2 linked regions of the Cricetulus griseus genome follow. The protein of the gene in region 2 interacts with the protein of the main gene of each other region in a pairwise test. Links are inferred from orthologs where the notes say so. Each region holds a gene or a part of one and is shown on either strand. Other genes may lie near its edges. The genes, in order: Znf496 and Znf446.

What was found.
Region 1: the proteins of Znf446 (region 2) and Znf496 interact in binary tests that used the Homo sapiens proteins (3 or more experiments, as listed by UniProt). The two-hybrid records come from large-scale screens. The link is inferred for Cricetulus griseus from reciprocal best matches to the Homo sapiens genes ZNF446 and ZNF496.

Annotation. Positions count from the first base shown.
Region 1 is NC_048600.1:73,542,725-73,549,048, forward strand, and holds the end of Znf496 (zinc finger protein 496), read right to left. Parts: intron 3,026-6,324; coding exon 2,271-3,025; 3' UTR 645-2,270; downstream 1-644. UniProt on the Homo sapiens protein: DNA-binding transcription factor that can both act as an activator and a repressor.
Region 2 is NC_048602.1:25,554,133-25,562,237, reverse strand, and holds the start of Znf446 (zinc finger protein 446), read right to left. Parts: upstream 4,599-8,105; 5' UTR 4,281-4,598; intron 4,096-4,280; exon of another isoform or gene 3,947-4,095; intron 3,940-3,946; exon of another isoform or gene 3,632-3,939; intron 3,501-3,631; 5' UTR 3,461-3,500; coding exon 3,119-3,460; intron 3,045-3,118; coding exon 2,840-3,044; intron 2,561-2,839; coding exon 2,466-2,560; intron 450-2,465; coding exon 365-449; intron 154-364; coding exon 1-153. UniProt on the Homo sapiens protein: May be involved in transcriptional regulation.

The sequences.
Region 1 (6,324 bases), on a different chromosome or scaffold from region 2:
AACACAAATCTCAATTCGATGAGTTTTTATAATGTACCTGCGCCAACTGTGGGAAGCCAAGGAATCGGGGAGCATGGAAAGAGGCTACTTAGATGTAGGATCTCAACCTACAGTCTTCTGAGGGCTACCATGAGAAGACTTAGGGGAGTGAGTGAGTTGGCTCTTCTTAGCTGAGGCTATAGACATCAGCAACCAGAGGGAGACAAGGACCAATCCAGTCCTGTAAGGACAGGATGTTTAGTGGGGGGTTTGCCTCTGTTCCTCACAGGTAACTCCTATTTACTCCTGAGGAAAAACCCTGGGATCAAGCTGCATCCCTGGGCTTCTAAGATAGGTGAAAGTAACCTTCCAGTTATGGCGATGGCCTGGTGGGCTTTGGACCAGGCACTAGGGCTCCCTGGCACTATTTGCTGTATACTTGGGATACCTCCTCTAACAAGCCCTGTACTTTTATCAGCTGATTGTCAAATACACAAATGAATAGCACTATGCTCCCCTTTTAGGTAAGAGTGGAGCCTCAGGCAAGAGAGCAGGGGTAGACAGGGTGAATACAGAGACACTGGCCTCCATGTGAAAGTCTTCCCTCCCTTGACCATAAAGACCCAGCTTCTCCCTTTTCCAGACACAAGGATGGAAGAGAACTATTTAGAAACTAGGACCTTTGACAGTTTATTTCTTGTTCAAGATGTGAACAAATGGTTTTTATTGCATTTACTATCTCTGGGTAATGCACTGAGCAGAAAAAGAAAGTCTTGTAATTCTCTGATTGGGTCTGAAATAAACTTCTTGATGTGAAAATCAGGAGAGAGCACCAGAGGCCTTGAATTCATTTTCCCAGGCTTCCTGACAGCTGAGAGCTGGTACAGCCTACAGAACCAGCCTGGCTGCAGTTCTCAGGTTCAGTCATAGTCACACTGAGGCCAACACCCTCATGGCTGAGCCCAACACCAGTGGGCCAGGGCAGTAAGACCACATTTTTGATTGCTTGAGGTTTCCTATGAACAACCACTCCCAGAATCACAGGCTCTGAACTTAAAGGCCACGGGTAAGGATTCCTCCTTGCAGATGGCTGTAGTTCTGAAAGCAGACAACTAGGATTGAATCCAGCATTCAAAGGAACGAAAGCACGCTACCTCAAGTTCGAATTGGTTCATCTGGGGCAGGAATAACAACAGCACCACGGAATTATCTGGAGTTTGGCTATGTCCACTCAAACCCCAGTGTTGAAGTCCTTACTCCCAGTACCCGAGATGTGACTTTATTTGGAAATGGCCACTCCAGATGTAGGTGGGGTTCTGCTGCAGGAGACAGGATGAGCCCCAACCCAAAAACTGGGATCCTTGTACAAAAGTAAGTTTGGAGACTGACACAGTGGAGATGAAGGCAAAGATAGAGAGACATTTGTACAAGCACAGGGCTACAGACAAGTGTTAGTGACCACCAGACCCAGGATGATTCCCTCTTCTAGCCTCAGAAAGAACCAATCCTGTTGACACCAGACCTCGGCCTTGCAGTTTCCATAACCGTGTCAATGCCACCTGCTGCTATTAGAAGAGCCTATGTTTAGTATGAGTTATAACAGTGCTAGGAAGCTAAACAAACTGCCTTGGAGTTGATACCCTTGAAGGACATGGCTTCACAGAAGCTTCTGTCCCAGGGTTTGGCTCACCTGGCAAAGGAGCCTTGAGGGGCCAAACTCTCAATTCTCAGACAGAATGGGTAGGAATCAGAGTAGTGACAGGCAGTTTCCATCCCACATTTATAAAGGATCTTTGTGGCACAAAGAAGATATTTTGGGATAGGTGCGCACACTTTTAAAATGTGAGCTCCTGATCCCCATATGAGCTTAGCCTAATAGGGTCTAATGACAATTCCCCACAGATCCTAGAGGCCCTCCTGGCCATCTGTAGATCTGTGGGGCATTCTGGACACAGTGATCTCAGGTTGACTTCTGAGGACAGGACCAGGGTCAGTACTTTAGGCAAGCTCCCCACTATACACACCCCGCCTCTCCAAACGATGGATTAGGGGCAGCCCAGTCCCTCTGAGGGCTGGAGCAAGTGGCTGGAGGGCTCCAAGATGCAGATCTTGAGGCTGGAGTTACCTCACCTCCCTGGGTTTGGGCACAGTAGAGGGAATGCTCAGGTGGCTACTTTCTATCTGGAGAGGAAGAGGCATGGCACCAGAAGTTGGACACTACCTGAGAGCAAAGGGCAGGTGGTTTGGGTTTGGTGCTGGGGCAGGGACTAGCTTGTGGGGCCACACCCTGATCAGTATGAGTTCAGAGCCTGCTTGGAGCGACGCTTCATGTGCAGGCGCTCGTGGCGGAGGAGATCATAATTCTGCCGAAAAGTTTTGACACAGTACCGACACTGGAGTGGACGGGCCTCATTCTTCAGGTGACAGTGGCTACGGTGTCTCACCAAATGGTCGTGTCGCTGGAAACCCTTCCCGCAGTTCCCACACTGGAAGCCCAGCTTGGCCTTGCTCTTCTCCAGCAGGGCATGGGCATCTGCGCCCTCTGTTTCCAACGCATCCTCCTCACTCTTCTGCACGGGTTGCTGTTTGTCTGTCTGCAAGTGGATCCGTCGGTGGGAGAGCAGGTGTGAGTTGAGGCGGAAGCTCTTTCCACACACAGTGCACCTGTAGGGCTTCTGGGCCTCATGGGTCTCCAGGTGTTCATCCAGGTCCTCACTGTCACTGAATAGCTCTCCACACACTGAGCATTTGTGTGGTTTCTGCTCCCTGCGGCTGCGCAGGTGCCGGATGAAGTTGACTCTCCAGCGGAAGATCTTTCCACAGTTCGGACACACATAAGACTTCTGTGAGCTCTGTACCTCACCCCCAACCTCAGTGCTGCTCCTGTGGGTTGGGAGACTATGAGGCTTTTCTGCAGGGCTCCCCAGCTCCTCGGTGCAGTATGGGCTATGTTGGGAGTCCTCATCCCCAGAACTGGACAGCACGATCTCAATGGTCACCTCCTGGTCCAGGTTGCTCTTTAGGGGTGGTGGGTCACCACCACCTCCTGTTACAAGAAACCAGTATGGTCAGTGGAATTGTCCAGATGACTTCCTACCCCAGCTCTTAGAAAACCTACTCAGAAAGGCTTAAGTGGGGGTCCAGATACCCTGGGGTTGTAGCATTCCTTAGTAACTCTGGAGGGTTTGGTTGTCCTGCATAGGCTGCTGGTGTAACAACTGGATCTCTTTCTGGCCTTCCTGCTGCTTTTCCCTAATCCTTTCCTTTCAAAGCATTCCTTCCTGAGCCACTGGGACTTAAAATTCTAAGAACTGGCACTTACCTGTGTAAACCTTTGACACACCATTTATATTACTTACTTAACTAGGCACCATGCCAAGGACCCTGGAGGTTCAGGGACCATGTTAGGGATGTGGTGTGCACAGCCCCCTCTGCTCCTAGACATTAACGAGTGCTGCATTACTTATGCTGTACACTCTCACAGGCACAGGGACATGCCCAAGGAAGAAGGGTAGGAGTAGAACTTGACCCTCACTGGTTCCCAACCTAAGTTTGACAGAGCTAGAAGCTGGGCTTTAAAGCTCATCTCTCCTCTGGGTTTTCCAGCTGAGAGGTCGCATTCTAGCCAGGCAGCTTTTCTAAGCCCGTGCAGCATATCTATAAGACTGAAATGACCACAGCTGTTCTGCTTTCCAGGTGGCTGGTGGGGCAACTCCAGTCGTGAAACACTTTCGAGACCTCAGACTAGACAGGTAGAAGATGCTATTGAGCTCTTGTTAATGACAACATTCTTTTATTAATTACTATTAGCTTTCAGTGAAAGAAAAAGTGCTACTACAGTGGACTACAAATGCCAAAGGCAAGTTGACGTCTATGTAGAACCTTGCCCTTGAAAAATGAAGGCTAGAGAAGGCTTAGCAGTTAAGAATGCTTGCTGCTATTCCAGAGGACCTGCTTTGGTTCCAAGCACCAAGGTCAGGCAGTTTACAACCTGGAACTCTAATGTCCTCTTCTGGTCTCCATCGGGACCCACAGGCATGTGTACATATACACATATGTGTAGTGTGTGGGTAAAGAACCAGAACAAAATTATTCTTAAGCCAAGTGGCTTCTCTTTTGTTCCACACAGGTAAATAGCTTACAGACAGCTGCTGCACCTCCATAGGCCCTTTTCCTTTCTCCCACACAGCTCGACTCCCATATAAACCCTAACCCACAACAAAGAGGGCCAATACTTTTCTGAATGCCTAGGCTACTCTAAGAGTGAATATATCTTTTGCTTATACCATACTTGTACACAGTATGTCTGGTCTACATATGTGCTATCTGTGTGCTGGTGTGACACATCTGTATTGGGGGCAGTCATCTCAAATCAGTTGTCAGCATGTTAAGAAAAGGTATGCAGCTGTGTATGGGTTATGAACAGCAGAGACAGAAAGTAGAGCTGCCTAAGTCTGGAAGGTAATAAGTCCCAGACATCAAACATTGAGTTTTACAGCGTTGGACTTTGGTTTGGAATTGAATGTGCCCTGGTTTTTCTGTCTTGCACTAAGAAAACCTATAACTTATTTTTCATTTTACAAGAGCCCACGGTTGAGAAGCTGTACCTTTTTTTTTTGGGGGGGGGGGTTGTTTCAAGACAGAGTTTCTCTGTGTAGCTCTGGCTGGGATTAAAGGTATGTACCATCACTGCCTAGCAAGACTTTGTACTTTAAAAGACTTTGGACATTTTAAGAAGACTGAACATTTTTGTTTGTTTGGTTTGGTTTTTTTGAGATAGGGTCTCACTATGTAGCCCTGGCTGTCCTGGAACTTACTCTATAGAGCAGGTTGGACTTAAACTCAGAGATCAGCCTGCCTCTGCCTCCTGAGTGCTGGAACTAAAGGCGTGTCCTGGAAAAAAGACCAAACTTTTAAGTGTTTGAATTTTAAAGACTGTGGAACTTTTAAAAGTTGCAATGTTTTGAGCTGGGCATAGTGGCACACGCCTTTGAGCCCAGCACTCGGGCAGAGGCAGGTGAATCTATGTGAGTTCAAGGCCAGCCTGGTCTACAAAGAGAGTTCTAGGACAATCAGAGCTGTTACACAGAGAAACCCTGTCTCAAAAAACCAAAAAGTTGAAATGTTTTATATTGTGATAGTAATTACAATACAAGATCTTGGGGACAAATAAGAAAGGAAAGTTTATGACTTAATATGATGTGTTTTGTATATCACGTTGACAAGGGTCAATTGTGTTGGTTAATTTTACTTCACTTTGAAATAAGCTAGTCATGTGGGAAGAGGCTATCTTAATTTAGAAAATATCTCCATATGACTGGGATATGGGAAAGTCTGTGGCGCATTTTCTTGACTGATGACTGATTCGGGAGGGCTCAGCCCACTTAGGGTGGTGTCAACCCTAGGCATTCGGTTCTGAGTTGTGTAAGAAAGCAGGCTGAACAAGCCATAGGAGCACGCCAGTAGGAAGCATTTTTCTATAGCCTCTGCTTAAGTTCCTGCCTCCAGATTCCTGCTCTTGCTTCCCTTAGTGATAAAGTGTGACCCCGTGTAAGTTGAAATAAACCCTTTCCTCTCTAAGTTGCTTCTTCTGGTCATGGTGTTTTATTTTAGCAAGAGACTTCAACTATGACTAAGGCTAAGGTATTGTGTTATTAGCAAGAAAAAGTTTTTTTAAATTTTGTTTTTGAGACAGGGTTTCTCTGTGTAGATTTAGCTGTCCTGTATCTTACTCTGTAGGCCAGGTTGGTCTCGAACTCACAGAGTTCCACCTGCCTCTGCCTCCCAAGTGATGGGATTAAAGGCCAGAAAAGAGTTTTAAGAGTTGAACACAAGTGAATGAAAAGATGCAGAAAAGAAAAAGACAAGGTATTGGTAGAGAGGGGTCTCCCACTTCCAGGCTGACTGACCATGCTCTAGAATCCACTCATGATGGGGAGCTTAGCACTAATGGCTGAATGTCCTGCACTGCACAAGGTGGACATACCAATCCTACCTGCAAAAGCATCACAAGTGAAAAAAATGTGTGACTCTAGACAACTGTAGGAAGCCACTGAGGCACTGGGTTCAAAGATGTGTTTAGCAGAGCCTGTGTGTGCTAATTAGAACAACATCCGGTCCCCAACAATGTTAAAAGATAGCACACTGTAGTCTGCCCTGGAGGTGGTTACGATGACAAGACTAGGACTGGGAAGGCATCAATGCACCTTCTGCGTTCTAGAATCAGCTCTTTACAACAAGATCATCTTGGGATTCTGGCTACCCACCATCAGGTAAAAAACACTCACTACATACAGAGCAGTGTCACATTGCCCTCAACAATCTACTAAGGCAATGAGTAGCCAC
Region 2 (8,105 bases):
ATGTGCAGGCTTGAACTAGCCCTGGACCTGCAATGGCTCCCACTTCCGGGAGATGGCTCCGGGGGGGCTCCGGTCCTGCATGCGGGGTCTCCTGTTTTGGCCTCAGCTCAGACTCAACGTGCATATCTGGCTCCAGCAGCGGCGGCAGGCTTGCTGGGTTGGGGAGAACGTTCATTTGGGAGCTCGGTCACACAGGGGCTTGCACAGAAGTGTGGGGGAGGGTGCCTTCTGGTAGGAGAGAGATGCAGCCAGATGCTGGGCCGCTGCTGCACCGGGAGCCCCGGTGGGGGCCTAGCACATGCGGGGAGGCACGTGGAGGATGGGGCAGGGAAGACAGGAAAGAGAGAGGGCCATTGAATCTCACCCTGGGACACCTCCGAGCCGTACTTCTCCAGCATCACGCCCCAGCACAGCTCTTTTTGTGATGAGTCCAACTGGCACCACTCCTGCTGCAAGGACGCAACCAGTCACTGCCTTTCCCACCCAGCCTCACATTCCCTACCCACCACCCAGTGGGTAGCAGGTTACCTCATCTGCAGCAGCCTAAGGACCAAGTCAGCACTGGCACTTGTGAGGACTGGATCAGCCTTCATCTGTCCACTGTCTTCTCAGTGGCCAGAAGGACTGAAACTGTGGGTGGGTTTTCGGCAGAGACACCATGGCTGTCCCCATCCTTTGTCTGGTAACTAAACCGTACAGAATGTGCTTGGAAGGGAGGGCAGTAAGAGGCCAGGAGACTACCTGGGATTCAGCTACCTTTTCCAAGACTGATTAACAAAATGGAAACTTGGGGCCTGGAGAGATGGTTCAGAGGTTAAGAGCACTGACTGCTCTTCCAGAGGTCCTGAGTTCAATTCCCAGCAACCACATGGTGGCTCACAGTCATCCGTTATGAGAGAAACTTCCTCAGCATGAAATTTGTTTTTTCTTTTTACATTTATTGGAGTGTGTATGTGTGAGATTGGGTCTGTGTAGGCCAGGCTGGCTCAGACTCACTATGGAGCTGAGGATGACTTTAAACTTCTGATTTTCCTGTCTCTACCTCCTGAGTTCTGGGATTACAGAACTCCCGGTTTATGCAGTGCTGGGAACAGAAGCTAGGACCTCGTGCATGCTAGGCAGGCACTCTACCAACTGAGCTACATCTCCAACACTTTTATTTATTTCATTTTATTTTTGAGAAAGAGGATTAAGGAGGCAGGCACGGTGGGGCATACCTTCGATCCCAGTACTCAGAGGCAGAGGCAGGTATAGCTGTGTGAGTTCAAGGCCAGCCTGGGCTACATGGCTAGTTCATTCTAGGACAGTCAGGGCTATGTAGAGAGATGCTGTCTCAAAACAAAAAGGTTGGGAGTGACGCTAAGGTTAAGAATGAGGGATTTCAGGACTGTGATGAAGTGGTGATAGAGAAAGCTCCAGAGCTTTGTGGCAGCTCGTTTAGGAAGATCTGAAGAGGGTAAGTTTGGTGGCAGGACAGAAGCCTTCCTACCTATTCTGGCCTTCCCAAGGGAAGAATTCCCCGTCTAAAAGATCTACCTTTTTTATTATTATTATTCAAGACAGGGTTTCCCTGTAGCTTTGTAGCTTTGTAGACCAGGCTGGCCTCGAACTCACAGAGATCCGCCTGTCTCTGCCTCCCGAGTGCTGGGGGATTAAAGGCATGCACCAACACAGCCCGGCAAGGTCTACCTTCTTCCTTGCTCTAAGATCTGCCATACAGGTCTTTGGCAGGTTGGGAAAAAGTAACCCCGAAGGACAAGCCAAGGACAATCTGGAAAAGAGGGAATTGGAAGCCACAGACAGCTAAATCTAGAGGCGATGCTGACCAGAAGTGAGGGCACCAGAGAGACATCCTAGAGGGGTTTCTTAACCTTGAAGCACACCTTAACTAGACCCTCTATTGAGGTAGGGGGCTCCCAAGTGGAGGGGCCCAGGGACAGAAAGACCCTGAAGAGGATAGGATCCCTACCCCTCCACGTCAACTATGCACGCTCAGGTAGCAGGGGCTTTAAACTAAGGTTCCAGGTCACTGTCCTTTGACAAGGGCAGTAGAAGGGACTTGAGGCATACTCAGGGAGAGTGTCTTGATTTGCTCTCAGGGATGCAGGAACCCTGCCGTGGCAGTCTCCTCTCCGCCCGCACACATAACAGCTGGCCCATGACCTCAAGGTATAACAAGCCTTTCCAGTAACTAGCCTCTCTGGGGTGAGGAAGCCATGGCCACCAGCTCTAGCCACTCTGGACCAGGCCTAAATCTTTTCCAATGAGAGACCTACCAGTCTAGTCTTCAGCCCTTAGAACCTGCTGGAAGGGAAGTTATTTACTACTCAGGAATAGTAAAAACAAAAAGCACAAACACACGAGTCACTGGCAGAGGACCCTACCAAACCACAGGGTGGGAATACAACCAACAGAGACACCCCATATACACCCATGGCCTGCTTTTCCTGCTGTAGGCTGCTTACCTGGATCCTTCCTGGGTGGGAGGATGTGGAGGCTGCTTCCTGGTGTCCAAGATGTCCCTCAGGGGCCTGGGCTGGAAGGAGGGGGCTTGGGGATACTGAGAAAGACAAGGAGACGGGAAGGAGCATCAAGCTGTGGTGACTGCATTGGCCTTGGCTTGCCTCTGCCATGTGGCATGGTGCGAGGTCAGTCTTGTCTTGTTGCTTCATAGGAATCCACCTTTGTAATCTCTCCAGGGTCCCTCTCCCAGCTGGGGACATGCAGACTTATTTCAGGAGTCCCAGCCCCCGACACAACCCCTCCTAGGATACCACATCCCCCACCCCACACCCACACACAGAGATTTGAAATTCTGATGTTGTCACCCCTCACCTACCCGTCTCCTGTCCATCGGCGCTGGCTTCCTCCTTCACAACCAAGTGGATCTGGGTAGATCTGTCTAGGCTGGAACCCTGTGGTACTTCCTCCGAAGGGCCTGCCTCGGAGGACTCCGTTGCTACTGAGACGCTGCGGCTCCCGGAAGATTCCTTTGTCCGCTGGACTGTAAGCAGCGTCTTTGGTTTCAGGATGTGGGCTGTGATCTGAAGAGAAGCCTGTCACGGGGGGCTCTACCTTCAGTCTGTCCTCCTGAGCAGCTAATGCCATTTACACTCACCCAGCCCAGCAGCTGCCCAGGATCAAGCTGCAGCCCCTCAACCAGGGCTGCAGCCTCCTCAGGGCTTCCTGGTCGCTGCCCTCGCACCCAGGCCTGGATCTCAGGGGGCAACACGCCAAGGAACTGCTCCAAAACCAGCAACTCTATCATCTGCTCTTTGGAGCATGACTCAGGTTGCAGCCATTGGTGACACAAGTCGCGAAGGCAGGACAGGGCCTCTCGGGGCCCCTCTACCTCCTCATAGCAGAAACCCCGGAATCTGAGTCGCGCAGCCTCAGGCTCCTCAATGGTGGTCTCGGAGTCCCCGAGGGAGAGGTGTGGGGGACCTAGAGGAGCTGGCATTCTTGTTTTGAAGGGTCTTTTTGGAGCTGTCAGGAGGGACCTACAGGAAAGGAGGAACCAGAGTGTCATCTAAGGCCAAAAGCACACACCAGACCCCTCCTAGAAGCCAGGAAAGAGAACCCCAAGGCCAGGAGCGCTTCGAGGAAGGAAACGGGAGGTGCAGGTCCCAACCTGGAGGGTGCATGGATGATAAATGCCTGGGTGGAAGGTGTCCAAGGGCCTTCTAGGAAACTTCCATGGCTGGCCCAAACCTTTGGGACTACCAACAGAGGACTACCGTGGCTCCCCCAGCCGACAAAGGATCAGGGGGGCACAGGTAGGACCATCCTTCAGGGCGACCTGGAGCCCTGGAGGCTTCAGTCAGAAAGCAGATCGTGTTGGTCTATCTGAAGAGTTGGCTCTGGGGTCTGGGTACATCACCCGGGACAGTGCTGAAAGCCTGGGCCAACTCCCAGGGGCCTATATGAGCTTGGTGACACTGCTCACCGACAAAACCGTGGGTGCCTCACACTACGCCTAGGAAACGCCCAAGCAGAAGCCAAAGCAGACAGCCGTGCATCACGTGGACATGTAAACTGGAACCTGTGTCCCAGTCCTTAAGAGGTTCTGGGTTGAAACCGGCTCTCCTGGGGCACCTGTAGAGTTGGGGGTGGGGTGGGTGTCAGTTTCTGACACAGCAAAGGAGAGGGAGGGTCTTTCAGGAGGAAGGGGACCCCCGGAGTTCTGGGTTCGAAGGCTGGGGGCAGTGGGGCGCTCCTCGAGCTCGGGGGGGGGGGGAGCCACGAGAAGCTGGGCCCGCCCAGTCGAGCAGCTCGCTCACCTCTGACGCCTCCTGGCGCCCCAGGAGCTCGGGGCACTTCCGGGAAGGGAGGCTACACCGCTCGCCCCACCGCCACTCACTACCGGCCTGGCCAATCCTGCACCGGCCCCACAGGCACGGCCCCCTCCGCGCGGACTACATCTCCCGTGAGCCTCAGCAAGGGGGAGCGCGCGTTTCTCGGGCCCCTCGCGCGCCAGCGGCTTCGTTCCGTTCCTCTCCTTTGGAGCCCGCGGTGTCGCAGAGTTCCGGGGGTGGTGGTGGTGGACGGGGCTCCCTCTCCTGACTTGGCGACCCGTTCTTCCTTGGCACCCCAGCCGAAGGACTCACCCACTGCGGACCCGGGCTGCGGGACCGTAGCCTCCTTGCGCATGTGTGCAGCGCGCCTGGCTCCTATTGGCTGGTGAGGCGTTCTGCCCAATTAGAGCCGGGCGCTCAGCTACGAGAAGGGAGCATCGCTCCGTGTGTCTCCTAGGTAACAGCGAGCGCACCTCTGCGGTTGCCAAAGCAACGCTGTAAGCGTGGCCTTGCGGCCGGCCGAGAAGACCTAGGTGCGAGTTCCAGAGGATCCCGGTGGGAGGCAGCGTTGGGCGAGCACACCCAGTATGGCCTTTGTTATAGTCCGTTAAGTAAATAGGCCCATGGGTGGGCGAGCAGGCGTTCAGAGGAGGTGACCATGTGGTCACCCCCTCTTTAGATAGCGGTACTACTGCAAATGGAGATGGAGGGTTCTGTCTGAGATTATGAGACACACTCAACTTTTAATTTGGAGGCTGCAGTTAGACAAGGTGGCCCTTACTCATTTTTTTTTCCCTCTCCAAAGTCTTTTGGGAAAAAGGCTTTTTAAAAATAAAGTTAATGGGGTGAGGTGAGGGGCTGGAGAGATGGCTCAGAGGTTAACAACATTAGCTGCTCTTCCAGAGGACCAGAGTTCAATTCCCAGCACCCACATGGCAGCTCACAACTGTCTGTAACTCCAGTTCTGGGGATCTGATGCCTTCACACCAACGCACATTTAAAAACAAAGTTAAATTGTTAAAAAAATAAAGTTAATGGCTTTTATTTGTTTGTTTGGGGGGGGTAGGGTCTCAAGTCCCCAGGTGGCCTGGAGCTCACCGAGAGATCCTGCAGCCTCTGCCTCCTGATTGCTGAGATTAAAGGTCTGAACCACCACACACAGCAAGTAAGGGCTATTAAATTTATGTGCACATGAGGTTAATTTTGTTTCCACATACCAAGAGTCTGAACCATGATAGAATCATTCAGTCCTGAAGCGGATCTGTCTATTCTGTTTTGTTTTGTTTGTTTGTTTGTTTTTTTTTCTGATTCCTGAGAACCCCCTCCTCGGCTGCCAGCAGCTAGCAGTGAGCAGCAGTTCTCCACATCTGAAACTCTTGAGCAGTTGTGCGGGTAGAGTTTGTCAACTGGGTTTACCAGCTGAACTATCTTGGGAGATGAGGTCTTTCATAGATTCTGTGGACAAAGCTCTCATACCCACCCAGTGGGGAGAGGCTGGGCTTTAAGGGACTTCCCAGGCAGCTGTCCTCTTGGAAGCAGCTGTCCCTGGAAGCATCTCTGTTCTAGGGCTCCCGTCCAAGGTTAGCTGGCTCCCAAGCCTTCTCTGTGCTTCAGGGTAGACCTGATTGAATCATGTGGTATACTTGGGCTTTAAATTTATAGCCGAATGTTTACCAGGAAAACAACCATTGAGCTAGCCCCAACTCCCTTAATTACTATGGTTATATTGGGTTGGCCAATGCAATCATTAAAAAATAGTTTTTTTTCTTTTCTTTCTTTTTTTTTTTTGAGATAGGATCTAAGTTCCCCAAGTTGGCCTCTCAGCCATCTTAAAGCAGAGGGTCTATGGCAACCTACTGACCTTGCCCTTAGAAATTAATGCATAGAAATTATACAGCAAATAGTTAGGTCTGTGATACTGGGGTATTGACATTTTCTCTTGGGGTGGGGTAGGGGGGTCACCAGTCCTTCTGCCCAACTGTGTGTGATCTTTGAAACGCTGAATTTTAGACAGGGCAGTGGTAGGGCAAACCTTTAATCCCAGCACTCAGGAGGCAGTGGCAATAGATCTCTGAGTTCAAAGCCAGCCTGGTCTACAGAGTGAGTTCCAGGACAGAGCTGTTACACAGAGAAACCTTGTCTCAGAAACAAACAAGCTGAATTTTAAGGTGAAAAAACTGATTAGAGTTGGGATTATTCAGTCACCCATGTTCTTGTAACCTCAATTGTTATGGTAACCTTTGAGGGGAATCTTGCCTGGGGGGACTTGGCAGATTCCATGGCAGGTGAGGTTGACCAAGGCAGATAGACAAACATGCCTGGCAAACGGAGCTTAAGTGAAGAGTTTTATTAGAAAGGGGAGGGAAGGGGAAGGAAAGAGAAAAGAGGTAAAGAGAGAGATACAGAGACAGAGAGGACAGAAGAGACGAGGGAGACAGGAAAAATTCTGTCTCTGTCTGCCCCAGGGGAACCAGGGAAAGAGAGAGCAGAAGAAAGTAGACAGAGGTCTTTCTTTTAAAGGAGTCCTTTGCACCTACGTGCAAACCACGGAATCATGGAACCCTGGGCTGACCAAGATACTGCCTGAGTGCATTCTGCCAGGTGACAGGGGCAGGCCAGCATAGTGCCTGACTCCTTACACCAATAAACTTATTTGCCAAGTGGGATTTAGGATCTTTCATTTGTGTTTTCTCTTTCCCTAATTGGGGAGTGTAGGTGTATGTCTGCTCAGGAAAGTCACAAGACAAACCCCTGTGTCAATTCAGTATTTGGCTTCCCTTGAATCAAGGATGACTCATCTACTTCTGGGTTCCAAGTGCCACTGTCATGTTTCCCCCATTGTTACCTGTAGACTTAAGTGAGCGAAGAGCTAAGTGTATGGTTGTGTTTTCATTTTGTTTTTTCTTTCCTTTTCTCTTTAATTTCCCGGCCTTGGCTGTCCTGGAACTTTGTAGACCAGGTTGTCCTCAAACTCACAGAGATCTACCTGCCTCTGCCTCCTCAGTGCTGGGATTAAAGATGTTCGACACCACCTCTTTGGGGATTTTCTTTTTTTTGAAACAGGGTTTCTACATCCTAGTTTGGTCTCTAACAGGCCATCCTCCAGTTTCAGTTTTTCCCAGTGTTTCGAATATTTTCAGGTGCTTCCAAACTTAGCCAGTTTAACATTTTGACTTAGAAAGCCCCAGGGCATTTTTACAGTCTGCCTGTTAAGAGGGGCCCACCAACATAGATACCATATTTGCTGGGGACCACCAGACACATAGGGGAACACAGAACAGTTCTGGGTATTGGAAGAGGCAGATGCAAGGAGGATAGAACTAATGGGCAGTTAGGGGCACAGCAGAGGAAGCTGGTGAGGATGAGAAGATGGTATTGACCCCCGTCTGAGGGGCCGGGAAGGCTGAGGACATCGGCTTCAGGTTCCTGTGACTATCGAGGAAACTCATTGGCTCAACAGATGTCTTTGGTTCTGAGCCCTCCTGGCATTACACAGCTCCATCCAAGAGCTGAGTAGGTCTCCCGGGTATCAGGAGACCTATCTCAGAGAACCTGCCCTTCCAGGGTCTTGGGCAGCCGGGTCCTGCAACAACACCCCCTCCTTGCATGAACTAATGATGTTGAATGGACAGAGGTGCCTGATTCCATTGGCAAATCAGTGGGATGGTGTCTTAACTACAGAGGATAGCTGCAAGATGGGTTGGGTTTTTTTTTTTTTTTTTTTTTTTTTTTTTTTTTTTTTTTTTTTTTGAAACAAGGTCTCACTATGTAGCTACAACTGCTCTGAATCTTGCAGTGTAGACCTGCCTG